7 linked regions of the Nothobranchius furzeri genome follow. The main gene of each other region encodes a partner of the protein of the gene in region 3 in a complex. Links are inferred from orthologs where the notes say so. Each region holds a gene or a part of one and is shown on either strand. Other genes may lie near its edges.

Evidence for each region.
Region 1: snrpf (region 3) and rnf113a share a complex: the UniProt entries of both Homo sapiens proteins name them as parts of the minor spliceosome. The link is inferred for Nothobranchius furzeri from reciprocal best matches to the Homo sapiens genes SNRPF and RNF113A.
Region 2: snrpf (region 3) and usp39 share a complex: the UniProt entries of both Homo sapiens proteins name them as parts of the U4/U6-U5 tri-snRNP complex. The link is inferred for Nothobranchius furzeri from reciprocal best matches to the Homo sapiens genes SNRPF and USP39.
Region 4: snrpf (region 3) and cript share a complex: the UniProt entries of both Homo sapiens proteins name them as parts of the minor spliceosome. The link is inferred for Nothobranchius furzeri from reciprocal best matches to the Homo sapiens genes SNRPF and CRIPT.
Region 5: snrpf (region 3) and txnl4a share a complex: the UniProt entries of both Homo sapiens proteins name them as parts of the U4/U6-U5 tri-snRNP complex. The link is inferred for Nothobranchius furzeri from reciprocal best matches to the Homo sapiens genes SNRPF and TXNL4A.
Region 6: snrpf (region 3) and srrm1 share a complex: the UniProt entries of both Homo sapiens proteins name them as parts of the minor spliceosome. The link is inferred for Nothobranchius furzeri from reciprocal best matches to the Homo sapiens genes SNRPF and SRRM1.
Region 7: snrpf (region 3) and gpkow share a complex: the UniProt entries of both Homo sapiens proteins name them as parts of the minor spliceosome. The link is inferred for Nothobranchius furzeri from reciprocal best matches to the Homo sapiens genes SNRPF and GPKOW.

The regions. Positions count from the first base shown.
Region 1 is NC_091745.1:10,008,282-10,012,371, forward strand, and holds rnf113a (E3 ubiquitin-protein ligase RNF113A), read left to right. Parts: upstream 1-1,387; 5' UTR 1,388-1,441; coding exon 1,442-1,547; intron 1,548-1,847; coding exon 1,848-1,927; intron 1,928-1,999; coding exon 2,000-2,098; intron 2,099-2,353; coding exon 2,354-2,461; intron 2,462-2,551; coding exon 2,552-2,661; intron 2,662-2,743; coding exon 2,744-2,850; intron 2,851-2,940; coding exon 2,941-3,030; intron 3,031-3,102; coding exon 3,103-3,196; intron 3,197-3,265; coding exon 3,266-3,372; intron 3,373-3,458; coding exon 3,459-3,526; 3' UTR 3,527-3,590; downstream 3,591-4,090. UniProt on the Homo sapiens protein: Required for pre-mRNA splicing as component of the spliceosome. As a component of the minor spliceosome, involved in the splicing of U12-type introns in pre-mRNAs. E3 ubiquitin-protein ligase that catalyzes the transfer of ubiquitin onto target proteins.
Region 2 is NC_091757.1:46,437,229-46,441,225, reverse strand, and holds the start of usp39 (ubiquitin carboxyl-terminal hydrolase 39), read left to right. Parts: upstream 1-1,197; 5' UTR 1,198-1,326; coding exon 1,327-1,387; intron 1,388-1,660; coding exon 1,661-1,739; intron 1,740-1,832; coding exon 1,833-1,927; intron 1,928-2,086; coding exon 2,087-2,223; intron 2,224-3,997. Other genes in the region: c17h2orf68 (UPF0561 protein C2orf68 homolog), read right to left, coding at 1-32, 273-388, 781-890.
Region 3 is NC_091741.1:34,923,132-34,927,125, reverse strand, and holds the start of snrpf (small nuclear ribonucleoprotein F), read left to right. Parts: upstream 1-1,194; 5' UTR 1,195-1,331; coding exon 1,332-1,334; intron 1,335-2,457; coding exon 2,458-2,583; intron 2,584-3,994. UniProt on the Homo sapiens protein: Plays a role in pre-mRNA splicing as a core component of the spliceosomal U1, U2, U4 and U5 small nuclear ribonucleoproteins (snRNPs), the building blocks of the spliceosome.
Region 4 is NC_091756.1:43,772,589-43,776,883, reverse strand, and holds the start of cript (cysteine-rich PDZ-binding protein), read left to right. Parts: upstream 1-1,495; 5' UTR 1,496-1,636; coding exon 1,637-1,652; intron 1,653-1,810; coding exon 1,811-1,876; intron 1,877-2,159; coding exon 2,160-2,214; intron 2,215-3,000; coding exon 3,001-3,104; intron 3,105-4,295. Other genes in the region: pigf (phosphatidylinositol-glycan biosynthesis class F protein), read right to left, coding at 828-1,055. UniProt on the Homo sapiens protein: As a component of the minor spliceosome, involved in the splicing of U12-type introns in pre-mRNAs. Involved in the cytoskeletal anchoring of DLG4 in excitatory synapses.
Region 5 is NC_091751.1:22,095,006-22,097,982, reverse strand, and holds txnl4a (thioredoxin-like protein 4A), read right to left. Parts: upstream 1,786-2,977; 5' UTR 1,641-1,785; intron 1,459-1,640; 5' UTR 1,431-1,458; coding exon 1,278-1,430; intron 1,152-1,277; coding exon 1,048-1,151; intron 962-1,047; coding exon 790-961; 3' UTR 501-789; downstream 1-500. UniProt on the Homo sapiens protein: Plays a role in pre-mRNA splicing as component of the U5 snRNP and U4/U6-U5 tri-snRNP complexes that are involved in spliceosome assembly, and as component of the precatalytic spliceosome (spliceosome B complex).
Region 6 is NC_091758.1:35,727,494-35,731,586, reverse strand, and holds the start of srrm1 (serine/arginine repetitive matrix protein 1), read left to right. Parts: upstream 1-1,293; 5' UTR 1,294-1,400; coding exon 1,401-1,421; intron 1,422-2,045; coding exon 2,046-2,135; intron 2,136-2,740; coding exon 2,741-2,863; intron 2,864-3,101; exon of another isoform or gene 3,102-3,228; intron 3,229-4,093. UniProt on the Homo sapiens protein: Part of pre- and post-splicing multiprotein mRNP complexes. As a component of the minor spliceosome, involved in the splicing of U12-type introns in pre-mRNAs. Involved in numerous pre-mRNA processing events.
Region 7 is NC_091755.1:41,971,939-41,976,202, reverse strand, and holds the start of gpkow (G-patch domain and KOW motifs-containing protein), read left to right. Parts: upstream 1-1,464; 5' UTR 1,465-1,675; coding exon 1,676-1,971; intron 1,972-2,128; coding exon 2,129-2,289; intron 2,290-2,518; coding exon 2,519-2,664; intron 2,665-4,264. Other genes in the region: membrane-associated guanylate kinase, WW and PDZ domain-containing protein 3, read right to left, coding at 450-532. UniProt on the Homo sapiens protein: RNA-binding protein involved in pre-mRNA splicing. As a component of the minor spliceosome, involved in the splicing of U12-type introns in pre-mRNAs.

The sequences.
Region 1 (4,090 bases), on a different chromosome or scaffold from region 3:
GTGTGTGTGTGTGTGTGTGTGTGTGTGTGTGTGTGTGTGTGTGTGTGTGTGTGTGTGTGTGTGTGTGTTCAAATAATAAAGTTAAAGTCCCATAGTCATCATCACACTGGTGAAATTCATCTCCACATCTGACACATCCCGATGGAGAGCAGGGAGCTGCTGCAGTGGCTGCGCTCAGTAATTTGGTTGTTTAACCCCCTAATGCAACCCTTTAAAGCTGAGTGTTAAGCAGGGGGGGGGATTGGGTTCCTTGTTAAAGTCTTTGGTATGACTAGACCGGTATTCAAACCCGATCTCCCAATCCCAGGGCAGACACCTGATAGTGGCCTAAATTGTTTTATATCTGAAATGTTTGAGAAGAAATTACAAACTTGTTAGTTAAATTTCACAATCAAAAAGAATTACTTGATGTTCCTCTGAGTCTACAGCAGAGGGACAATAGGCCACCAGAGGGCGTATGATCTGATGTGTTTGTAATGCTGCTAATAGTTTTTGTTTTAGCGCGTTAATTTAATCTTGTTTAACACAGATAATTATGATACATTTATTAAGCTTCATCGGTTGTGTAGTTTATATAACTGCAGACCTTCTGACCTCTTGTTATTTCTTTTATTTTGAAAGGATTTATAGGAAGTGCTAATTGGTTATGTGTTGTTCAACTTTATGTGAACACTGTAGTAACCGCCTCTGACCGCCAGAGGTTGGAAAAAACCCTACTCTCGAAAGCCAGAAACTAATTGAGTTCTTGTTATCAAGTTGACATAAACAATACATTTAATCACTTATAGACAGATTGTGTTGGCATCAGTTACGTCAAAAGATTATTTAGACAAAAAGCAGTTAAACATAAAATTTTCTTACAAATTTATGTCATTCGTTTTTATTTATTTTTCTTTCTTTTTTTGTTTTTTGTTGTTATGGTTGTTGTTGTTGTTGTTGTTCTTGTGAAGCGCCTGCTCATGATTATTATCTTGAGCGGTCTTGTAAAAGATCGTTTCTTCTTTTTATCAACGACATTTCTAATGGCTATTTTTGTGTATTTTGTTTATTAATCGTTTATACATTTAGTGTCCAATCAAAATGCGTTAATTATTTTTCTGTTTAAAACTAAAATTACCTTTTAAAAATTATTTCAAGTACTACGGAAGAGGATTAAGGCCACTGAAAACAAAGAATAATGATTTAAATCTGAAAATTCTGAGATTAAAGTCAGAATTATCTTTCTGTTCATTTTTTTATTGTATTTTTCTTTTGTTTTCATTGGCCCTCGTCCGTTCTAACATAATATTTTAGGTTTACCATTCTAGCCAGAGCCGCGTTGACTTTGATTTATGGACGGTTGTGAATCTCATTTTGGCAGAAGGAGCGCGTCACGTTTCGCCTCCAGAACAACAGGGGGCGCTACTGCTCTGGCAGCCACTGTTCTTACACCAACAAAAACATGGCGGACCCAGACAAACCAAAAGCAGCTACTTGTACGTTTTTGTTTAAAAAATCCACCAAGAAATTCTCCGGAAGAAAACGAAAAGCAAGTGACAGCGATAAAGGTAGTAAACTATCATTTAGATACATTTCCTTGTAATTTTCTCCTAACTAGCGTTGTCTGTCCTCTGGATAGAATTGATAGCGGCTTCTCATCAGGGAGATCAAAACCGCGACCCAAACAGTTTGTTTATATTATCCTCCATAATAAACAGGACCAAAAACATTATGGTTTATCACCTGAAAGCTACATTTAAACAAAGAGGGGAAGTAACCTAGTTTAATTGTAATAGATTTTGTAATGTTTGTTTACACCAATTGTGTGTGTGTGTGTGTGCGCGTGTGTGTTTGTTTGTTTGTTTTAGATGGCGATAGTGACACTGAACAGACTGCTGTGGTCAGAAAAGAAAAGAAGGATGCTCGAGTCAACCCCATGATTCAAAAGGTAGAGCAGGCAAGCTAATAGATACTTAGTTATGAAGCAGCAACGTGAATGATCTATGTATTCTTTGTTCAGACAAAAAAAGTGGAGAGGGACGCTGTGTCTTCTAGTGAAAGCGAGGAGGAAAAGGGAGACAAAAAGATAACGGTTGCTTACAAGTCTTCCCGATCAGCGGTGAGTTCAGACTGCATTCATTCAAAAATGTCAGAGCCAGACAGTACAAGTCAAACACTGATCTTTTTTCCATCATGGCTCAACCTGGCTGTTGAGACAAAACATACAGGGGCTGAAACTTCACCAGAAAAGCAAATTTTAACATTATTTTACAATCTACAGACCATTCTCATCCACGTACACATGACTATGTGCCCTGAACAGTTGTTTTTATTTACTTTAAAACTTTCTACTGTACCTTGCCTTCATAAAAAGAAACCCGAGGGGCCTGAAGACATGGGTGCAACTGCCACTTATCAGCTGGACACAGAGAGAGACAAGGATGCTCAAGCTATTTTTGAGAGGAGTCAGAAAATCCAAGAGGTAGGACATGCCGCTATTGGTTAATATAAAATGAGAAATAATCAAAATCTCACCTTCGTCATTTGAGCTTTCCCTCCTCTGTCTCATTAGGAGCTAACAGGTAAAGAAGATGATAAAATATACCGTGGCATCAATAACTACCAAAAATTCATCAAGCCTAAAGACACCACCATGGGCAATGCCTCTTCAGGCATGGTCAGGTGAGGCAAGAGATATTCACATGCAGTCAGAAGATGTTGTTCACCTATAGATGCTGAAGGTTACGTTCAATCTGTGCTACAGAAAAGGACCGATTCGAGCTCCTGAACACCTGAGAGCTACAGTCCGGTGGGACTACCAACCGGATATTTGCAAAGACTACAAGGAGACGGGTTTCTGTGGATTTGGGGGTTGGTGAAAACAATCTGAACTCTTAAAACGTTCCTACTGTGAAGTCAAAGGTTTTGTTTATTAATCATGATTGCATCCGTTGCCATTAGACAGCTGCAAGTTCCTCCATGACAGGTCGGACTACAAACACGGCTGGCAGATTGAGAGGGAACTGGAGGAAGGGAGATATGGAGCAAATGGTGAGTAAATAATCGAACTTGAAATCTTCTCTTTTGCTGGCTAGACTAAGTTTCTGATGTGTTTTCATCTAGATGACGAGAACTATGAGGTGAGCAGTGATGATGAAGACTTGCCCTTCAAGTGCTTCATCTGCAGAGAATCTTTTAAAAATCCCATCATCACAAAGTAAGTACTGCGATGGTTTCTCTCCTTCAGTCCTTGTTTATTACCGGCTGGTAATCGCTGTTTCCTTAGGTGTAAGCACTATTTTTGTGAGAGCTGTGCTCTTCAGCATTATCGCAAGTCAAAGCGCTGCTACGTGTGCAACACTCAGACCAATGGTGTCTTCAACCCCGCTAAAGGTAAATGCATTTGCTCAAAAACATCCAAGAGGAGCAGAAACCAAAGTAAACAGTCACACTTGATGTTTTATTGTCATTTATTCTAGAGCTGATTGCCAAGATGGAGAAACGCAACGCTTTAGCCGACCAGCCACCGTCAGACGAAGAAGATTAGAACACGCTTTAGAACCCTCTCTGTGTTTGTCTGTGTACATTTCTAATAAAGTTCATGGCCTCGGTTCCTTTTGTACAATCATGTTGAAACACTGAAGCAGGCCTGGGTTTGTAGTAAAAGTTTTACATTTGTAACACGTTGCTTTGTCCAAACTTTCAAATATACATGCAGACAAAACCAGCACCAAGAAAACATTTACATCTGACGTCAGTAACACCCAGAGAGCCGAAGAAAAGGCTAACTTTTACGCTCTTAATGCTAAACTAATAATTACAACCTGTGCAACAAAAGAGTCTGAACCGTGAGACGATGCATCTGCTGTAGCAGACCGGAGCTAAGAAATGCTGTCAGTCCTCAGAGAGGACTGCTAGGTGCCCTTATGGTCGTCTCCTGGAGCAGACGGACCAAATCGTGTTAACACAAACGGTGGAGCGTCTCCTGGTAATATTACGTAGCAGCATTTCATTGATCCGTCTCCTGACCTTTATGGTTTGGGCTACATCTACCTTTAGAAAACTCAAGAGTTGTCCTTTTGGTTCGTGGGTGTGTGTAGAGTACAATCCG
Region 2 (3,997 bases), on a different chromosome or scaffold from region 3:
AGCATCAGCACCGGTACCTGGCTCAGATCCACCTGGAAAAGAACATACATGCACTATCATGCCTTCGGGGCAGGAATTCCCAGTCTTGGTTCTTGTGATCTGATCCCTGATCCCATCAGTTGATCAAACTCAGCTAGAGCTCGGTACCCATTTACATCAGGCATCTTGAAGTGTGAAGCATTGGAAAACACTTGGGGCGGTGGATATTAGGGATCAGCATTTGAAAACATAGTTCAACAGAATGATCCTGGGGAGAATTACACAAATCTTACGTCTTTGTCGAGGATTGTAGACTTGGATGTCAGGTCGACGAGGTCTTTTTGGGGTTGCAGTGTGTCTTTGCTTCTTTAGCTTTTTGGCTTGCTTCACTTCCTTGTCATAATCATCTCTGAAAAAAGACAAGTGACAGTTTGATCATACAAATTTCAGTTACACGACTTTAGGTTTAGTTGTTTCCATACTTCCAGTCATTTGATCATAAACTTAAAAGTGTAATGCTGTATGTATTTTGCAATTCAAAACAAAGTAAATAGTTATTTAAAACAATAAGTTTCATGCATATTCTGCTAAAACCTGCAATAATTTGGCTAGGCCTGCAAACTTATAAATTGTTTTTAGCGGCTAAACGCGTTTATGTCATCAGCTACGACCTTTTCAGCATCCCCAAATCAACGTAACGTTTGATTAAAAGAATATCGCCTTTGAGGTTTTAGGCTGATATTAACCTAGTGTCTCATTTTCAACTAGCATTAACAGAGAGAAATTGAGGAAATTACCTACCTAGCAATCTGGTTCCTGCGGATATGGTGCAAGAAGCCATGGCTCATATCCAAACGCCCACCTGGTTTGTATTTTAGCTCATGCCCTCCATCATCTCTTAAAATATCCATGTCATTAAATGGTTGTAAAGCAATAAATTACCAATTGGTTAAATCATTATAAGAGGTCCTAATCAGACCTCAGACAAAAGCTAAATAGCACCTAGCTAGCTGTAAATAGTTGTCCAATAAATCACTTCCGGAGTTAACGCTGCAGGAACGATCACATTTAACATCTTAAATTAAAAAGTACAATAACAATTCAAGTATTTGTGTACAAATAAAACAAACACATGTTGTAAATTAACAGTTTCCTGCGCTAAAAAAAAACAAAGTTAAATTTCTGGTAGAATATTTTTCTTAACACCGGAATAGGTTTTGTTTTTTTTGTTCAGCGTACAACCACCGCGAGTTTCGACGTGGTCAGTCACCATTCATCTAAAAAATCTTCTAAATAAGTTAGTTTATTCCTATGTTGTTTTGATACCAGGCTCGCAGGATAACAGATATGATTTCCCTAAAACGAGAGAGGGAAATTGAGCTGGACGACGATGATAACGAAGACGGAGGTAAGTATGTTTATCTCTAACGTCAGTGTAACGTTAGCCGGATGCTAAGAAGCTAACTAAAAGAATTTGATTTTATGCACAACTTTGTACAGTCACTTCCTGAATGGTCATTAGACATCCTCAGTAACTAATGCATAGAATAACACTTTGCTTAATTAAAAAACATTCTGTAACAGCACAGCTATCGTGTTAGCATGTTTAGCCTATTAGCTTGTACATTGTTATGTAGCATTTTAGTTTGTCTTGTTAGTTACAATTATCATATTTTTGCAGTTGTAATCAAAAGGGGCCGAGGACATGCAGTAGAAGACAGAAGAAGTCGCCACTGCCCTTACCTTGACACCATAAACAGGCAAGAAAGAGAAACATATCAGCAACTGATATTAGCATTGCTTGCTAATTAGCACATTTGACAACCATTAACCTGTCTATGCTAATTTCCCAGGAGTGTGCTTGATTTTGATTTTGAAAAGCTCTGCTCCATCTCGCTCTCCCACATTAATGTTTATGCTTGCCTCATCTGTGGGAAATATTTTCAAGGTAGGTAAAGCTATCCAACCTTCAATCCTACATGATTAAACATGCTCGTGCACTTTGATAGCCTGGCAAGCCACACTAAATAAAACTTTGCAAAGCAAGAATTTGGTCTAGTTCACTAGGCTAGTACTTTGACACACTGGTGTTGTTTTTTTCTTGCAGGCAGAGGTCAGAAGTCTCATGCATACACTCACAGTGTCCAGTTTAGCCATCATGTGTTCCTCAACCTGCACACACTCAAGTTTTACTGTCTGCCAGATAACTATGAGATCATTGACTCGTCATTAGAAGACATCACGGTGAGTCATAGTATTGTTTTGTTGATCTTATTATGCCACAAGTGTCTATGGTTACAAAGCCTAAACATTTCCTGTTTAACAGAGACTGCAAACTGGAGAAAAGTTTTAAAAGTTTTAAGCATGTAGATGTAGATTCTCAGTCATCCAGGACATTTCAGTGCTAAGACTCTTGGGATGTTCCAAAAAGGGTACTTCACGATTCGATTCAATTTCGATTATTGGAGCTTCGATGCTTCGATTCTTCGATTATAATGATTTTTGGTTCGATTCGATTACTGGAGCCACGATTCTTCGATTATTGACATTTTTAATGTTTTTTCATACAAGATTGTCTTCTATTTTATCTACATTTGTAAATAAATAACCTATCAATTAATTCAGTTCCTCTACAACTGCTCTCTGTAAGTAAATACATTTTTTTAACATTTAACTATTTTTCAAAGACAAATTCTTATTTTATGACTGTATGACGTGTAAATATTTGCACTTTGACAAACTTAACTTTGGTCAGGGAAAGCTTTACTTACACTAGTGTCTCCTCCATTGTTGGGAAACACTGAAAACAGGCAAGCCCTGGATTTAATGAGGTAATTAATTCAAGTAAACAAGATTTTTACTTCCACTGAATTTATTTAATGGAAACTTAATGAGTCTGGCATATGATAACATTACAAAAAAAGCTGCCATACAGATCAAAAGTGCATTCCTCAAAATAAAATAATTCAGCTTATTCAGTCTGGAATATAGGTAACAGAAAAAAACCTGCTATATTTGAAGGTAATATGTTGCATTTTTTCTGAACAAAAGTGCATAATTCAACTGAACCTGTATTCAGCTTGGAGCTTCAGTACTGTGAGGCGAACACAACAAAATAGAGCAGAGTGACACTCATACTCATCTTAATCTTAGCTGTCTTCCCATACTCCCTCCCCTCCTTCTTGTCCCCTACATCCTCCAGTTGTGTGAGATGGGTAAATGTCAACATTGTGCTACTTTGACCCTCACTCATCTCTCGAGTTTGAAGAACGTGGCTCACCAACTTCCACCCGTTCTTGTCCGGCGCGAGAACAAAATGCGCCGTTACAGTAACGAAGGATTTGGTGGCAACCGATGTCCATGCATCGCATGTGAGCGCTATCCCGGTTGCCTTCTTCATGGACTCCAGCTTTGGTTTCCTCGTAGAGGTGGGGGACTTCCTTTTCTGCGAAGTGTTTTCGGTGAGGAAGTTTCTAGCGCGGCTCCATGGTGCGCACCACTAACTGAAACCCCCTGTTGTTTACTACTGAATATGGGCGTAGATCCGTCGCGATAAAAGTAGCTATTGCTTTTGTAATGCTCCTCGCCTTCTCTGAGCTCTTCGGTAGTTTGGAGACAGTCTCCAGGATGGAGAAAGAGGTCAAAGAGGTAGTGCCACTCACTAAACAGTCCGGGCGGCGCGTGCGTTAAGGCTCCGGTTACGTGTTTTTATTTTTTTTTAGTACCGGCGTTGCAATAAAACTTTGATGTTATGTTTTTTTAAGCATTGACGTTCATTAATCGATGTCGAAACAACATGTTTAGCTGTTAGATGCATCGCCACATCGATTAATTGCACCCCCCCTATAAGATTCTAATGGAAAGTAACTACCTGGAGATGTCTGAAGATGTTTCAAATTTTCATCTGACTCAGATGAGTGTTGGAGATCATTTTAACTAATGTGCTCAAAATTCAGTTGGAGACTAACCTTTTAACTCAAATCAAATTCAAATTTTATTTGTCACATAAATTCATACA
Region 3 (3,994 bases):
AATTTAAATGATTTTTATTTCATAACTTCTAATCTTTGTGACCATTTGGTGAAAATGTCATCTTTTTTATTTTATAGCCTCGTAAGACTAATTTTGCTATTTTAAAATCATATTTAATTAATAAATAATTTCCCTTTTGTTTTTGGTTGCTTTGCACGAGTTACTTTCTTGTGACTACAGTTTTTGCAACACTGCAAATTTATTTGTGTCTCTTCATCATTTTGCAGCTCTAAATACGTTTTTAAACACATGAAAAATATATTATGCTTTCTTTATCGGTTCAGTCGGTCTGTCTGTCTGTAACAGATTTTATTACGCCTCATGCCAACAGTAGTTCTCATACAACTCATGCACCCTCTGACTGGCCACTTCTCTAAACCTCGCGTACCGTCTCCATCCCATAACTGAGACCAGACTGTCTGATGGACGGGTTAATTACACGTTGGAAAGGTGAGGTCGGGAAAATACTCAGTGATGTAAAGAAACAAGTATTTCAAACATGCAGAGAGAGATCCAGAGCAATTTCATAGGAATTTTTCTGACAAAACCCAGCCATTTGCTGAATGAAGTCAGATTTCGGTTTTATTCACCATGGCAGGTTTGAACTTGCCTGACTTTTTGGTAACAGACAAACGCTTCAGAGCAGAAAACATTTTTTAAACATCGGGCTTCTTGTGCCTGGAGAAAAACAAAGCTGCAGAGAGCAAGCATGACCCAGTTATGACAGTCGTGCCAGGTTTAGCTCCTAAACCGATATGTTTTCAATCAGTCACTGATCCTGCATGACATAAATAGAGCAGGAGTTCAACTCAAGGCAGATGACATGATCTTGTTGCTGAGAATGAAAACGAGTTTGAAGAAAATTATTACTAGTTTTTCCTGGACTTAATAACTGATTTTTTTTGCCATTTTCTTTTGTGAATGTAGAGGAGATACAACTTTTTGGACTGGACTTTATTTCTGTATCGTGCCACGAACATATAGCAGATACTCTATAAACAACTGACATATCAACCCCAGAGATCGTGCATACATATTGTAGGTGTTTAATTCACGTTTCGTTTATCAGCTCACAGTTTACTGTTCAATGGGTGACTGTAAATGAGAGGAAGAGGGGAAACTTTTGGAGCTTTACACTAAATCACTTGGGTAGCAGTTCGCTCATCCGGCCACTGGGAGGCGCTGTTTAAAGCACGGAGACTCGTGCCCAGGTCGGAAAGTTGTACTTCCGGTCGGCGGTAAAGCGTGCTTCGTGGTTTGCAAACGTTATCGAGACGAACATATTTTACTTTTTTGATTTAGCTTATTAAAGCTGTTTAATTTGATATAAAATGGTGAGTAAGACGTTGTATATCTTTATCGTCTTGCGAATGAACTATCAGGATTTAATTCAGTGTATTTTTGTTGTTTAGCGTTAGCCATGTTAGCTTTTCATTCATAACTTCGACCTAGACCTTTCACACCCTCAAACACATATTAACACAAAACTGGTGTTATAAATCTTCGGTTTCTTATTCCCTTTGGGTTGTAAGCCGTCTACTCGTTCATCACTGTTAATAAACAAGAGAAAAGACCGCAGAGGCTACATCAACCGCTAGCATCCCCTCGCTTCCTGGCAAAATAAAGTCCAAACTATTTCGCTAAGATCGTTTATCAAAAGCTTCCATAAGGAAATGAATATATATTAATAATATGTCTCTCGACCTTTAGCTATTTAATCTTTATAATGTGAGCTAACTCCTCAGGCCTTTAAGTCCACGGTGTCCTGTAGCTAGCCTTAAGAGAGATGATCGGTTTAAAACAAGCGACTCAGAATGAGCTAAGAGCATCTTTGGTGTGTGCTTGCTGTGTTGAAATTCTAATTCCATCTTTTAGTTATTTTTAAAACACAGAAAGGTTTTATTTGCCTGCAACGTTTCGTTTGCGGCTGCAAACTTCGTCAGGCTGACGCTGCAGGTAAATAAAACAGCAGTAAAGCATTTAAACCTTTTTATTAAACCACCTGACCCGGATTAACCTTTGTGTTATGGGAGAACATATTAAAATTTAATAGTGATTGAACAAAATAATGCAATTTAAAGAAAAATAACACTATTAGGATTTAACAGCTTGTTTTATTACACAGATCAGTTGCGCTGATTCATTAAACGTTTTTTATGAATAAAATTAGATTGGTTAAACAGCTGTTTGGCCATTAAGTAATTCATTAGTAAAGTCAATAAAAATGATTTACTTTGCAGTAGATTTAAAGTTTGGATTCTACGCAAAAACGTTTAATTGAATCCGGATTTCCTTCATGTTGGAGTGAGGAGTATCTGTGTTGTAGGACGGACGGCTGGGGGTACGCTGCTGTTCAGCAGCGTTACAAATTCATGAAATGTAGTCGTTAAATGCATTTAATTTTCTTCAGTAGTGTGGGATGTAATGGCTTTGCTGACCTCTGTTCTTCTTCTACAGAGTTTACCTCTGAACCCGAAGCCTTTCCTGAACGGCCTGACGGGAAAACCTGTGATGGTGAAGCTGAAGTGGGGTATGGAGTATAAAGGCTACTTGGTGTCTGTGGATGGATACATGAACATGCAGGTGGGTGCCGTTTCTCCTCCTAACAACCAAACCACAGAATCTTCTCACATGGAAAAATAAACCATTTAATTATTTGTATACCTGCTCAGGATTTGCTACTGCTTGATGATTTTATTGTGTGGTTTTATCTGTGTCAGACTTCTTTATTATCATAAATTTGGTTAAGCCAAATCAAAATAAATGATAAAATTAAATTTGTACCCCAGGAAAATTCAGCTCTTTAGACCCATCATCCTGCTTGTTTTCTATGTTTCTTTGCTTCAACACACCTGATTTGAGTCATTAGGCGAATAATGAGCTGCTTCAGAAGAATTAAGCTATTGAATCAGGTGTGTTGGAGCAGGTAAGGAACTAAAACATGCAGAACCAGGGCTCACTGATGTTCTTTAATCAGTTCAACTTCAGATCATAGTCAGACTGCTGAAAGGTGTTTATCTTCGTGTCCAGCAGGGGGCGTTGTTTGATCAGTTTGAGGGAATTTTTGCTAAAGAGACTGAAGTGAATAAAGTCATGGCTCCAAAATGTCTAAGGAAACTTCATGTAATTATAATTTTACTTATTAATATTAACAAAGCAGCCTATTTATCCTTCAGCAGCAGTAAAATACAAATGTTCCCAAAGCAGGGTGTGTTTTCAAATGTTTGCATGTATATTTGGGAACAATATCTAGGATATGCACCCAGTTGTCAGCGAAATGCAAATCAGTTCAACAGCAGTTGATGAAGTTCTAACAGCTTTTTAAAAGTCTAATCCATAAACCTCCACTGGAAAGAATATAGATGCAGGAATTAGGCCTGCAGCTATCGAATATTTTTGTAATCGAGTACTCTATCAAATCTTTTATCGATTAATCGAGTACTCTATCAAATCTTTTATCGATTAATCGAGTACTCTAATAAATGACCCTTTTGTGTTTGTAAACCATTATATCAAATAGCATGTTATAAAATATGAAAGACCTCTTAAAATGAGTACGCTATTGCCAGTTATTCTTCAAGTTTTATTCAAAATCAGTTTGCAAAACTTCAGCACTTCAACTTTACTTCACAGTAAACAAATGCCTGTGCAAAAAATAAGTAAACAACCTGAGCTAATTTCCCCCGGTGTGAGAATCTACGAGCCTGCAAGCCAGACAAAAACTAGGATAACTGTTGAAGTAGCGCTGCGAGTGGCTGCGGCCCAAACAGAACCAGAACCGCTCACGGCGCATGCGCAATCATGGCTCGCCAGCTGTTTCCCTATTAACACACGTCCGTTTTAATTTCTACACTTTATTTTCTCACACAATAACAAGGATTGTCGAGAAAGCATGTTTGCCGTGGTTTTGTCGAATTATACTGATCACAAAACATTTATTTACTTTCGTTTTCCTCTCATAAATACCCGCGTCCTCCTGCAGCAACCCCGAGGG
Region 4 (4,295 bases), on a different chromosome or scaffold from region 3:
TGTGAACTGGCGCTTTATGAAAAAATTAAATTTATTTGCCTCAAAGCAAGAATGCTGCAGGTTCGAATCCTGCCTGCATGGCCTTTCTGCGTGGAGTTAGGATGTTCTCCCCATGCTTGTGTGGCCCTTCTCCAGTAACTTGCTTCCTCCCATGGACCAGACACATCCATGAAAAGGGTTCAATAATGACTCTAAATAGTCTCTAGGTGGGAGAGTGTATGTTTGAATGGTTGTTTGTCCTTCTATATGACTGGAGACCTGTCCAGAATGTCCCCTAGCTCTCATCTGATGATGATTAGCGCTAAAGATGAGCCGTTTAGATCATGGATGAACCGAATTAAAATGAAATGAAACTCGGATGGTTTTGTTAGCTCTCTTCCCTTCATAAAGGACATAATCCTTTGAAAACTGCATTTAGTTTAGTTTACTCAAGTTCTCTTTGCCTGATGTTGAAATTTGTTTGATCTGAACCATTTAAGTGGGACAAAAAATTAAACAAATAATATATGAAATGTGTTAAGAGACAATTACTTTTTTCACACCTAAATAAAATAGATCATAACAAGAAACGCTTACAATTTCTACTTTTTCATCACCTCACCTTACAATATCCAAAACTTACCTTCATTTTCACACATCTATTAAATTTAATTAAAAAGCAAGTTGACTGATGTCCATTTCCCTGTCCAAATAATAATAATATTAATAATAACAAACGAATACATTTTGTAAAATTCATAAGATACCTTCACATATCACATAATACATTTATATGTCGAACATAATCAACAATTCACTTTAAAAACATTATCTAGTTGTTTTGGCACCTTGTATCCCAGTGTGTGCTTTTTGGTGGGCGGTGAGATGCCGAGCAGCCAGAAGATAGCGACGCTGACACAGGTCACCGTACCGGACACCGCGTAGACCCACAGCAGGTGAGTCCCATACACTGAGAAGCCCGGGACAAACACCGCGGGGATGACCGTGGCCATGAACACCGAGGCGGTGATAATCGCGTGAGTAGACGCCATAGCTTTAATTTCATGGTCCCACATGATGAAGACGTGAACTATTTACAACAAGAACCCGATAACGATGCGGGGAAGTCAAATAAAACACCTAAAAAACGTAAGGTAACATTGGGAAACTGTCAGGTCTATGTATTTCTTTTCCGCGTTTCCGTAAACACGAAGACGTAAGAACGTCCGCTTAATTTCACAGTAAAAGTCTACTGCGCACAGACATCTTAGGTGAATGATGAAAAAACATCCGTTTCGAAACATATTATCATAGATTATCGGGTCAGTTTATTTCAATTTCAAGTGAAAAAGGTGTATGTTTTACTTGTTACTCAATCTCTGCTAATGAATACGCTTGGGTTAAATAAGGTAAAAGTGCTTGACTTTATCAAACATTTATTTTGAAGAACCTATAAGCAAATAAACGGGAAGTAGTAAGTTATAGTTCGCGTTGCGTAACTCAATTGTTTTAACCAATCACAGAAGATGTTACTCGTTAAAGCAACCAATGAAACCTGTCATTTGAAATGCCTCAGCTGACCGGACGTTTACATTAGCAAAGCAAGCTAAAGCTAACAAACGATCATTTCTACTGCGTCATTCGACACACCGCAAAGATGGTCTGTGAAAAGTGTATGTATGTCATTTGCTTCTGATTTTCAGACGTATTGTTCATTTTAAAATCTGATGAACGTTACTTTTGTCAGCGAAAGTCTCAAATGCAAACTAGAAGGCCAATAGTTTAGTTCTTATTGTATTTTCCTCCATAATTGTTTTGTTTTATATTTTAGGCGAGAAGAAACTGGGAAAAGTAATTACCCCCGACACTTGGAAGGACGGAGCACGGAATACAACAGGTGACCCGAGGAATGCGTAGTGAAATGTTTTTTTGCCATCAGTATGATAAATTGCTGTTTGTTAATTATTCTAGATATGAGACTTGTTGTCTTGTTTACAAGTTACTTTTGAAAATGTAATCATTGTTTCTATATTTTTTCACGTTACTAGCAGGTTTAGTCCTCATTTGGTTGATCACGCCATAATATAAATTAATTGGTGTTTATTTTTTTTATATTAGTATAGGTATAGTAACATTTAGATGTCCGTGTTTAACAAGTTTGTCTTCTTTCTTTGTGTCAGAGAGTGGAGGACGTAAGCTAAATGAGAACAAGATTTTGACATCCAAAAAAGCCAGGTGAGTAAAAACAATTTATAGAAAAAAATAAACTTTAATTACAACAATCTAATGAATGTAAATACAAATATGAGAAGTCAGAGAAAATATTCTAAACGCATTAATATACTTATCTTAAAATTACCTTCTTGAAATTGAACCAAAAACTGTTATTTTACTAAAGTTCAACCTTATCATATAAAACTTTCTCACCACCATATTTGCTTGGGCATACATTTTGCTGCATTGGCACAAATCACCACATGAATCATCATTAATCATCTGTCCTTAGTATTTTACTTTATGAACCACGTTTAAATCCTGATCTTCTTCATTTCTTGCAATCATAACAGTTGATTTTTACATCATAGCTGGAACACACTCTTAAGTAACTGTTGCAAACCTGCTCTGAAGAGTAAAAGACCATCAAATCTTCAGCAGTCATGAGATGATTGGTCATTATTTCCCCATTCATCCACTCTTATGCTCTCTTAGTTAAATAAAACTTAGATCGTCCATATACAAGTTAAAGGGAATAGGTGACAATATCTGGTGAACCTTATTAGTAACAGAAAAGGAGTAGCTCTCATTTGGTTTTTAGTCTGATTGTAAGATTTGTATAGAATATGAGGTGACACCTTGTTCTTAAATCTTCCTAAAAAGCCCATCATAATGAACTCTTATCTGAACTATTCCTCAGAAGAAGTCACACAACGGTTTAGCTACTGTTTTTCAATGTTGTATATTACTAATTCAAAGTGGTCAGCTGATATAACTGGTCATGTGTGTAACAATTATTTTCATCAGGTTTGACCCTTACAGCAAGACTGGCTTCGCAATCTGCAGGATCTGCAAAAGCTCAGTTCATCAGGCTGGATCTCACTACTGCCAGGGCTGCGCTTACAAGAAAGGTATGAAGTGATTGTGCTGAAGATTTAGTTTTGTGTCACAAAAACGCTACAGCATTTCTATTAGCCCTTTTACATAAAACACACACACACATGCTCTCTATTCAACACCCTGCTGAGTTTTTCACATGTAATCATGTCACCAACAACATTATCCTTTTCCTCTGAGACAAATCCATCTGCATCCTATAGGAAAACGTGACAGTAACTGGGACGAGTTGTGAAACTGCAATGTTTGTCTGTTGTTGAACAATTCAACTTGTGACTTTTCTGCTCAGATGTTTTCATTTTTCAGTGTGTCTTAGTGTCAGAATCCGGAGAAAATTACAGCCTCACATCAACAGAGACTGTACTTGCATAATCTAGAGCCATTCTCGATAGGTTTGTTTGAATACAGTGTGTTTGTACTGTATTTAGGCTGAATGATGAAATGTAAACAGGGCTTTATCTAAAAAGGCATATCTTGATGAACATTGAAGCAAACTGTCTTAGTTGCAGGAAATGAAAGAGTGGAGTGGCCATGTTTCAGATGGTTCATCAAACATGGAAGATGCTCAGTGAAACAAATCATCTTTATAGTTTGCTGAAGTTTTCTTTTTTATTATAATGATTTCAAGGCCTACGTGTCCCATTGAACCTGCTGCCTTTGGTATGTCTTCATGATGATGCCTAGGTAGACTCACAATTAGGAATAGGGCTGCACGATATTAGAAAAACCTGCGATATTCGATAACAGTGTTTAATATTGCGATATCGATATTACTCACGATAAATGAACAAATACTAAAGTATGCAGTGTTGATGTCGTCTGGCGTGTGACGTCTGCTCTGGGTTCAAAGCAAACAAAACTAATGCATGAATTCCATTACAACATAACATTTTTATTGCAAAAATATGCAGCTGCACCTGCTACTGTATTAGTAGCAAAACAATAAACTGCATGCATGCAGTTTCTCAGTGACTTTAAAACATCACCTCCACCATAAAACTTTTTCTGATGCTCCAAATGCAGAAAAACATCCCTTACCAGGGTTTTTGAATAAATAAAAAAATATCAGAAAATAAGTTTAAATGTTAAATAATAGTTAACATCACTTAAATGGAACAGCAAATTCTCTCATTGCTACTGAGCATTTTCTCCACTTATGTGGTTATGATATAAGGCTGTTGCTGCTATTGGGAAGTGAACTGTGC
Region 5 (2,977 bases), on a different chromosome or scaffold from region 3:
AGATTCCAGGTATGTCATTAAAATGGTATGATTTCCAACATTATGCACAGATTCGTTTTATTTAAAATACTTAACATTTTAAAAAGCCTGTCTACTATCTTATTTTGCATAACCATAATTAAATAAGATCATATATTCATTATATTTATAAACTTATAGCCATATTTTTTAGCCAGTCATTAAAAGCCTTCTAGAATTAAGAGTATTAACAACAGAAAAGCAGGATTTTAAGTTTTACACTCATAAATCTATCAGTCTTATACTTAATGATGTGGTGGAACAGCTTGTACTCATGATAAACATGTTTATTTTATAGGCCTTAGAAGTACTAGATAGACTGGCTCTGTCCAGGGTGAACCCCGCCTGGTTGCCCAGTGACAGCTGGAGATAGGCACCAGCCCCCCGCGACCCTACATGGACAAGCAGGTTCAGAATATATATATATATATATATATATATATATATATATATAAAATAAATTAAAACACTACATTTAAATCTTAAGTAAAAGTTTTTTATTAAAACAGTTACAAGTTGTACAATATTACCGATGTGTTCCACACTGACATATTTCACAGAAATAAGCCTTAAAAAACACAAAACTTAATATTTATGAAGCTACGTTTGCAAAAACAAAAAGTGACATTAAACCCACCATTATCAACAATGTCCTGTTTTACTACCAAAGGTAAACACGCTGAAGAATATTCCTGAACCTTTTGTGTTTTTTGTCTCTTCATTTTGTCAAATGAAAAAATAATAAACTGAACAAAGGAGGATGAAAAAAAATCAGTATCTGTATTTTGTAGAGTAATCCTTGGGAGACACCACCAAACCTCTTCCTTTCCTTGCTCCTCGATACACAGTTTCAACAATATCTATCATCTCCTGTTTGTCCTCGATTATCCAGTTGATCTTGTTATTGTTACCGGTGCCCAAATCAATCATGATGTGTTTGTTCCTGGAAGAGAAAGACAAAAATATCACCTTAAAATATGTTTACTCAGCTGCCCTGTCTATTGCAACATGTGGAACTGGAAGAGCTACCTGAAAAAGAACATGACAGTGCAGGGGTCGTACAACTCGTACATCTTATTGAAATCAGGCACTTCTGTGATGTCCACGAGGTAAATGACAGCAAAGTTCTTCACCTGTAAATAAACAAACCAAGAATGAATTAAACATGGCATTTGGAGCACGCCAGCAGGTAATGTGACGCGACTCCTGAATCTGAGCCAACCGGACTTTATATAATAAAGACAGGAAACAAATCAAACCTTTTCAGCGATGCTGTAAAGAACCTCGTCCATCTTCATACATGTTGGGTCCCAGTCGTGTCCGAAGCGGATGACGAGGACTCGGTCCTCCTCAGACAGGATGGCTTGGTCGACCTGCCATCCATTGTGGAGATGCGGTAACATGTACGACATCTTGACTCAAAAATGAGCAAATTCTAACCTGAAATGGATCAAATAAAGAGTTCAAATCGATCACAGCTGAACATTAAATTAAACAAACATCTCTGAGTACCAGAGAACGGTTTGACCGGCAACAGCTAGCTAGCTAGTTAGCGTTAACCATGGATACAATCTGAAAGACACAATTATGAAACTTCCCACTAAATATTCTGAAACACTTACCCCAAAATATAAAATAGAGTATTTAAGTGGCGGGAAGAAAACGGACTAACTATAGATAAAGCAGCTATGTTCAATGTGACTTCTTTTAAACCCCACGGAAAACAAACGCTTCACGACGTCATCAAATCAGCGACGCAGGAGACGCGTTAAATTTACGTCATAGTCGCTCAATTCGAAAAACTCTTTTAAAAAGTCCCAATTTATTTATTTATTATTTTTTAATGTGAAAGCCGCACACAAAAAATAAAAATTTTAAATAATTAATTATTTGAAATAATTACTTTTCACTCCAGCAAGTACTTTTAAAATAAATATATTTACGTTATGTTTTCCAGCAATATCTTTTTGGATGATCATCTTTTTGGATGATCAACTAGAGAAATACTTCTAGTATTAAATGTATTTCGTATTCATGCATGGAGAACAAACAGATTTTCAAACAGCTCAATAACAAACAGAAATTATGTTTACAGTCTAGATAACATAATTAGAAATTTGCAACATGAATACATTTTTTAGGAAATCTCGGAGCACTCTTTATTTGTAAAGCTTGTTTGCCACACTTCAATTAAAACGTGCACGTGTTGTTTGTGTACTTTACAAAAAAAACTGTTAATATTTGATGCTGTGAAGTATTTCTGATTCTTAACAAGTTCACAAATTTAGAACAATGTGTATATTTGGCACACTTGCTGTAAAATGGATACAGCTTGAAAAATGATTAGTTTGGAGTTTTACTCTGCGTTCAAACTCAAATTCTTCCACAAAAAGAGATTCCAAAGAAAAATTTGTAAAAACCCAACCCTAACTCATCATGCAATGTCAAATACTACGTGTCGTACTTGATTTTTTGCAGGCTTCCTAACACACTTTGTAAATAATAAAATGTAAACCCTTTTCAAGCACTTTAAGATGGAGTTTTTAAATATTTTCCAGCACGTTACACCGGTGTTGCACAGAGACCGTTTATACTTGTTCACAACAATCACGTCACTTTGCTGTCTCATTAAAGGAAACGTCTGCACCATAAAGTCAGTTTCAGTTGTTTTCAAGGACTTATTTAAATGCTGAAGCACTTTTAAAACTTGAAAATACCATTACGAATAAACAAATAAATCATCAATCTTTCAGTCTTACTTAGATTTAGAGACGTTATTTTATTTAAAGTGTGGGTGTACAATTCTAATAGTGGAAAAACACGAAGAAAAAACACTTATTGTGCAATTTACTGCAGTACAATCAAAGAAGAAAAAGATAGTATAAAGGTTAAAGAAAAAACGTTCCAGTCTGACGACATAGCAGCACATTGTGGCACTCCCTAGAGAGAGAGAGTCTAA
Region 6 (4,093 bases), on a different chromosome or scaffold from region 3:
TATACAGTGTAAGAAAAAGAACATACAAAACATTTAAACAAATGTATCCATTAATAAGAAAATTCAGCAAAGATAAAATCATTCAAATAAGAAAATACCAACACCCCCCCCACCCCACCCCACCCCCACCCCCGGCCAGTTAATAACTATAATTCAATTCAATTCAATTCAAAAATACTTTATTAATCCCAGAGGGAAATTGATTAAAAACTAATTTAAAAGCCCACATCAGTCATTTAGTTTTAAGTTGTTATGGATGACCAAAGTCTTAAGAATTTTCTTGAATCTGCCATGATTATTTATTAATGCCACTCCTGGAGGCCGGATATTCCAATATGAAACAGCTCTGTAAATGACTTCTCTTGAGGGCATTCGTTTTTGGCAATGGAAGGGTAAAGGTTACTTGGGAGGCTCTCCTTGTGTTAAAACCATGTCTTTTACATGTCGGTAGAAACTTTGTGAACAAACTGAAAGGTTTATGTGATATCCAAGTTTTCTGCAAAGAAATAATCAGGCTACAGACTAATCTGCCATTTACCTTCATCCAGGACAACCTGTGATGCATCCAGTTGATATTGGTTGATATCTGCTAGTATGTATTGGAATGTCTGTATGAAGATTTGTCACCAGGAGTGTTTAAAAAAATACTGTCTATGTTATGAGGGAGGAGCTGCTCCATGCCAGCCCAGGTCCTACCAGCAGCAGATCTAGGTGGCCACAAATTCTCCAACAACCAACAGCTCCCAAAGAACCAACACTATTCAGCCATCCCAGATGATGGGATGAACCCAACCTGGGCAAGAAGGGGAACCAGCCTGAGGACGAAAGGACACCAGCCTCCAGCCAACGGGAACCCACTTGGGGCTGTCAGTCCTGGAGTCCCAAGCCCAGCACATCATCATCACGCCAATGCAGGTCAGCCAGGAGCCAGACAACCCCATTCCCCATTGGCCTAAACTCCACAAAGGGCTACCAAGCACAGGGGAACCAAACCAACATAGCAACCCTCGCCCCTTGCAGAGGGAGTGTAACTGTACCCCCAAACCATGGAGATGGTGAAGATTCTGACTCCTTGTTTTCTAAATATACCAGTCCTAATAAATGCCACTTAGAGGTTTCATGTATTCAATGTATATGGTTTACAGTAAAGTACTTTTAAATATATAAAAACGGAATAAAAAATGTATGAACTGAATAAAATATGAAACTGATATATTTAGAAATTAATGTAAAAAATAAGAATTGTCAATAAGTGGAAAGAAATAAAAAATGACGCGGGCAAGCGCAGTACTCGTTACATCCTGTAGGGGCTCACTCTGCATCCGGCTGGCCACTCGAGCTTCACCAGAGGGACGCACTTCTTTCTCCGCAGCGCTTGAAACAATCGATTTTCACCGAGAATGGACGCGGGATTCTTCCGCGTGAGTGTTTGAAACAAACATCTATCATTTTTATAAATTTGTGTCGCGCTGAATGTTAATAAATTGGCATTAATATCCCGTTTACAGTTTGGTCGAGGGCCACACTTGATAGAAGCGGTGCGGTAATGGCTCCGTCTATCAACTGATTTTGAACGATTCTGCTATTTGTAGTCAGTCCTCTTTTCAATGTAGCTAATTTGGAAATTAGTATTGTTTTTATGAAACTGATAATTGTATTATTTTGAGCCCGTGTTATGTTATTTTACTAACGCATCTCAGCATTTTTGGTATAATTTTCATATAGTCTTCTCAGGAATTAGACAGGTCCGTGCAGCTAAATTGTTGGCCTTGGCTTAAGATGGCGCCCGGTGTTGTGCCTAAACGAGCTAGTCACGACCATGTTACGCCAACGTTACTTTGGTACATTTAACTTTCGGCTTATTGAAGACTGACACCATTCAGACCTTTAAGAGCACATTTATATCGACGCTGTTATCGTTGACACCGCTTTCTTGCTAATGTAATCTTCCTTGTTAGTACTTAGCAACCGGCTAGCTAGCTTGTTGCTAGTTCAGTGTCATGTGTAACCCGAATACACTAATTTCTATCTGTTGAATATTTTAGGGTACGAGTGCGGAGCAGGACAACCGTTTCAGCAACAAGCAGAAAAAACTACTGAAGCAGCTGAAATTTGCAGAATGTTTGGACAAGAAGGTATGTGATCTCCTGATGGTGATTAAACTGTTATTCTGGTTATTTCTCATCATATAGCATCCAAACATGTGGTGGTCAGAGGGACCGGTAGCACCTCATTTTTATCATTGAGCCCCAGGACAGTTGTGGCTACATTGTAGCTCATCACCATCGGCATGTGAATGTGTGTGTGATTGGATGAGTGATACACTGTAGTGTAAAGCGCTTTGGAGACCTCTGACCTATTCATCATATCCCAGACAAACCGTAACAATCAGAGGTTTTTCTGTTCTGAATGTTAAATGAAAACAAAAATTTTCTTTTAGGGCCGCTGAGACATATCTTACTTCTCCATATGTAATCTGCTTGTGTACGTCAATATTTTATTTTGAATAGGATTTGTTGTAGAGGTTGGATTTGTGGCAAATACCCAAGTAAAAATCCCAAATAAGTCTGTTCCTTGTGTGACCTGACATCTGTAATAGATATAACCCATTAATGTGACTATTTTGCATAAATGCATTTGGTAATTGCATCTGAGTGCCTGTGTAATGCTGCTTATTCCAATAAAATGAGTATAAAGATGATCACTTTTTAAAAATATTGACTTGCCTGTTTTTTCTCAGGTGGACATGACCAAAGTCAACTTGGAAGTCATCAAACCGTGGATTACCCAACGTGTGACAGAGATTCTTGGCTTTGAGGATGATGTGGTCATTGAGTTCATATTCAACCAACTTGAAGAGAAGGTATTGTTTTTCCTCTGTTTGTTTTATTTTTTTTCTGTCAGAGCTGTTGTAATTCAGGGCATTGCTTAGCCAGCAAGAAGGGATGTTAGTAAAATAAATGCACATCCTAGTCAAACTGAGAATGAATGGGTAAAGTAAAAAATAGTTGGTTTATTTGTGTAGATCTTGTTTTGCTGTTATGTGACAACGTGCCTTTTTATTTAGCAGTCTTCTAATGATGATGTGATTTATGATTTAAAAGGCCTGAACCAATATGGATGTTATACCTTGCATCAGAAGTATAGCACCAACATCTAATTAGCTCTCTCCTGAGCCCAAAGTCTCTGAGCCCAACTCTCCCTTCATGATGCAGTGTGTGTTTTGAGGTGAGTTGTATATAGGGATCATCTACATCTTGTCAGTGAAAGACACAACTGAACAGTTCCATTATCATATTCTCCGTAGGCATTTTTAGATGCCAACTACCTTCATTAATCCAGAAAAGGGTTTAGAAAATGCCATGGTTTATTTTTAAGTATAAAAAATAAAAATTTGTTTTAACCCTGAAAAGTATTGTCTCACTGACCACCCCTGATTGCAAGTTTTGCATCAGTTGCACTTCTGTTGAGTATAACGTGCATTCTGTTGCACTTTTATTTAACTGCACTCGAGAGTTGCTGCGTTTCCATCAAGTTGTCTATTTTAAACAAATCTCATAGATGTTGACCTACATGAGGTACATGCTGCATTTCTTTGAGTTAATAAATGAAGATGTGTAGAAAGAATATTTTTCAGTTCTGTTGGGGAAGGCTGAGAATTAAAAACGCCAGCAGCCAGAAACAAATAAAACAAGCTAAATTAGATGCTTCTTTTGTTTCCCTTTTTGCCAAAACTTTTATTTATTTATGCATGGTTTTCCCCAAATAACTCTGTTAGTTTATAATTTTACAGGATGAACAGTTTTATTCTAATAAACCTGAAATATTTCATAAAACTCAAAATAGAAATGAAAAATATGTTGATGGAAACCGTTTATGGTCTGTGTTGAAGGCGAGCAGAGTGCATTACTATTGCAAGTAGAGAACTTCAACCACAGGAGGTCAGCACAAACGAGATTTTCTACAGAAACAATACTTTTCAGCTTATTGCTATAAAACCTGATTTGTAATCATTTCAGAATATTCATTTATGTCTCTTCTTTACCATGTATGTTATTTTATTTTTAAATACTTTCTAGTTTTAGACTTTTTA
Region 7 (4,264 bases), on a different chromosome or scaffold from region 3:
ATGATTCCTATTAGCAGCATCACCTTGACTGCAACCAGATCCGGAGCATTTCCGTCAGGGTCAGGAATCCATCACTTCCAAAACAAGCTGCCCAAACGAGCTGGGACACACCCAAAACAAACACTCTCACACATACAGAGGGCTGCAGGGCACTTGTGCACGCTCCTGTATGCACATGCATGCACACACACCTGGCTGTGAACCACAGAGTATTTGAATCAGTCTATTATTCATGGCAAAGGGGGTGCAGGTGCACTGAGCACGAGCTTCTGTTTAGTTTTCATTAAGGCAATTTGTGAGGAAGGCGATTGAAACCGATAAAGAAAATAGAAAAGCTATCAAGAAACTCTCAAAACACACACACACACACACACACACACACACACACACACACACACACACACACGAAGCAGATTCTCAGATTTCTCATATTTAGACTGAATACTGACCTGCCTTGCCGCTGACACACACACATTCTCTTCAAGCAGTTCAGCCTTTCAAAGAGGATCCGTTTGAACGCGTCTATATACATTGACCCTGCCGAGGTTAAAAAAGGAGCAGCACTTTAATAAATAACGCGACCTGTTTGGTTTGGAGCAACAGCAGGAGCTGGAGGAGGAGCGAGGAAGAGTCTGGAGTCTGGAGGAGATGAGATGAAAGGCGATCAGCCGGAGCCAGCGGAGAAAGTCAGAGCCGATGCGCACGGCTGACGGGATGTTTGGACACTAGTGATGCTCTGGGAGCTGAGGAGAGCGAGAGAGCGGGGAGAGCAGGAGAGAGAGAGAGAGAGAGGAAAATAAAACACACACACACACACACACACACTATCGGGCAGATTTGACGGCGGTCGCAGATAATTTCAGCAGCTGCTACATTGCTGCGAGCAAAAAGGAGAAAGGAGGAAAAAACAAGAAGGCGTGGATGGTTGTGACCCAAACGGGAGGTTTTAACTTGTGCAAAGAGAACAGTGCGTTTCTTACCCCCATGTTCACTCTCTGCGCCTCATCGTTTATCCATCATGCATACAGAAAAAGCCCGAATTACCCCCCAAAAAATCATACAAATGTCGGGTTCAGCAAATAAAGGTGTCGCTGAACTTCAGAGGTTGCGCAAAAGCAGGTGCGGAAATAGTAATAAGGTTGCGCTCATGCTGCTGACATGCAAATGCGGAGAAAAAAACAGCAACATTAGGCTACATGGCTAATGAAAAGGTTAACCTCACAAGTTCAGGCGCTCAGGAGGCACTGGGAGGAGGAGTTAAAAGCCCCGCCCACATTCTGCCTAAAACACACCTGCATCAGCAGCACCAGAGTCCGCTTCACTATCTGCGATTTAAAGGAGTCAGACCCACGCATTAATCCAACTCATTCAGCTCTTGTTTCTTTTTATTACAGGAGACTAAAAAGCTCCAGATAAACTATAGGGGTTTACAAGATGACCGCTTCAACGGAGCGATGTTTCAGCTTTTCAAAAATAGACCTGCAAGTCTAGACATGTTCACAATGAAAGTGTTAAACATCAGTACCTTTCTATTTTAAATCAAGTGTCAGTGTAATTACCGTCTGTTTAACTACTTTAAATGATTTGATATATTATTTAGTTACTAATAACCAACGGATTTCACAAATAAATCAGTAAATCTCGGATTGCCTGCGACCTTTAAAGAACTCTTATTATGAGGCATGATGGGATCTGTAGTCAATTGCAGCCTAGAGTGGTTATCGGGCTCGTTAACGCAACCCCATCTCCCAGAATGCACTGCGCCCTCATCGTTCTTCTTCCACAAACAATCATGGCGTCGCACGGAGACGGTTCAGGTGCCGCCGAGAACCAAGGAGATAAAAAGGCAGCGGCGGTATCGTTTGGTTTCACAAAAACTGTCAGCAAATTTAAACCCGCAGCCGGCGGCATTCCAGCCAAGACCGACGAGAAGGATTACCTGACTGGAATCGACCGAAATGAGTTACAGAGGTAGGCTAACCGCTAGCTAGAGGCTAAAGCTGTCAGTGGTTTGTAAACGGAGTGGTGACGTTTGAACTCTAAATCTGACTGACCACACTTTTACGTGGTGTGTGTAATGTATCTACCCGGGACACTTTAAAGATTTAACTTTTGTCTTCCGTGGCAGTTCAAAGCCAACCGAGAAGCCCAAAGAGCTCATCATCCCATTGATCCAGAAGAACCGCTGGCACAAACCGGACCGAGCGGACCCGAGTGGAGGCTCAGCGCGCGGCTCGGTCCAAGACAAAGACTCGGTGGAGTCTCAAGCTGTCAAAGAACTCATTGAAGGTTTGTGGTTGAAAAAGATGCAGAAGTTGGACAATGAATGGTTGCGTGTCAAAATGTGTACCCCCTCGCAAACGGAGCCCATCCTGGAAGTGTCTTCCTGCTAGACTGTAAAACAATTAAGAGCACGAGCTCCATGGCCGGTTTGTGTGTGTATTAGACAGTTTTTACTTTCCTACCCAACACTAAGAAAACCATCTTTATCAGTGACGTTGTGTGTTTCTGCTTGTAGATTCACGGAGGCAGCTGGAGCAATGGCAGAATGCAGCAGAGTCGAACAGAAGCCTGGACCTCTCCATCCCTCTGTTGATGCAGAACAAAGTCCCTGAGGGTTTTGAGGATGGAGACCATGTAAAGGTGGACCTGCGGCCTGAATCTGTAAGTGGGGACAGAACGGGCTGTAAGAGACTTAGGAGTATGCAAAGTTTACCAGACGAATGAGAAAAGATAGAAAAATTAATTATTCACAATTTTGTTGTTAGAGCAGCTTAAGTCAAGCCATCTGTTATAGTCAGTAATGCAACAAACCAGAACCTTTAGATTTATAAAACAAATGGAATAAACCTTTAAAAGGTTTAGTAAAGTACAGCAAAATTATTCTTTATCTTAATGATTAATTTAAAGCACGTGTACATGCTACTGCAGCAATCTGACACCCGGATCTACCAATATCCATCAAAAGTAGAGATGTAAGAAAATATCGATATGGCAATATATCGTGATATTTTTCCCAGCAACATTATATCGATATTCAAAAGCCGTGTATCGGAAATATCGATGTGGCAATATATCGTGATATTTTTTCCTGCGATTATTACATCGATATTCAAAAGCCGTGTATCTAATTCCTGAAAGAATTTACATGCAAACATTTGTGTATTTTCGTTTTGCGCAATTCAATCAGCACCCGCTAGTTGGCAGCAGTGTGCAGCGGGTTTTGTTTCCACCACTGAAATGTAAATCCCTCCATCATGGTTCAGATACCTCATGTTAAACATGTTACGTATCAGTTTGGACTGTTTATTGAACATTCTTACAATAAATTCAGTTAAAAAATTGCTTGTAACGTCTGACTGAATGTATCGCAATATATCGTGAAATATCGTATCGTCTCCCCTGTATCGTGATATGTATCGTATCACAAGAATTTCAAAAATACACATTCCTAATCAAAAGGCATGCTTACATCATCTTCGTCAGCTTGTTAAAGGATTGTACCACCTCACAGACGTTTGGTTGTGATGTTAGCAGCAAACCATGAAAAGTAAAGTTCGACCGATAATGGTTTTTCTGTTGCCGATACCGACGTGTAAAGGTTACGGACAGCTGATGGACGATTAGTGTTGCCAATGTTCTGTGCCGATTTTCATGTCTAGATGTTTTCCGCCCTATTTTCATGCTAATATGTCACAGGTAACACCAGTAAATGCACAAAATTTCAGAAGCTGAATCGGTTTTTGAACACTAAATTTAACTGTTAAATTTTAATCTTGTGCACTGCTCAGTGTTAAAACCAGACGTCTCACTAAAGTTAATCAAACAAATCAGGATACTGACCGAGTATTAAATGCTCAAAACTGGTAAACAAACTCTTATTTTTGGTGGAAATAATTTTTAGAGCATTAATTAAAGCAGATGCTATTCAGGAACATAAAAATACAATTAAATCCTGCAGCAGTGCCGGGCTGCCTGGGGATGTGCCTGACTTAAAACCGGCTAGGTTGTGTAATTGACAGTGAAAACTGTAAAAACCACGTTAAATCCAGAAAAAGCTGACAGGTTGAAGAAATCAGCAGTGACAATTTCATCAGTAACAAACGAATCTTTAAACTTCACTTCCTGACGGACGTGAAGGAAGGCCGTCGGTCTGAGCTCGTTATCTGTCTGAGGATGCTACGGGAAGGTTGTGATAGAATCTTCTGGACAGGTGCCTCAGTGAGGGCACGAAAACACCTGACAGTACAAAACGTCTGCTACT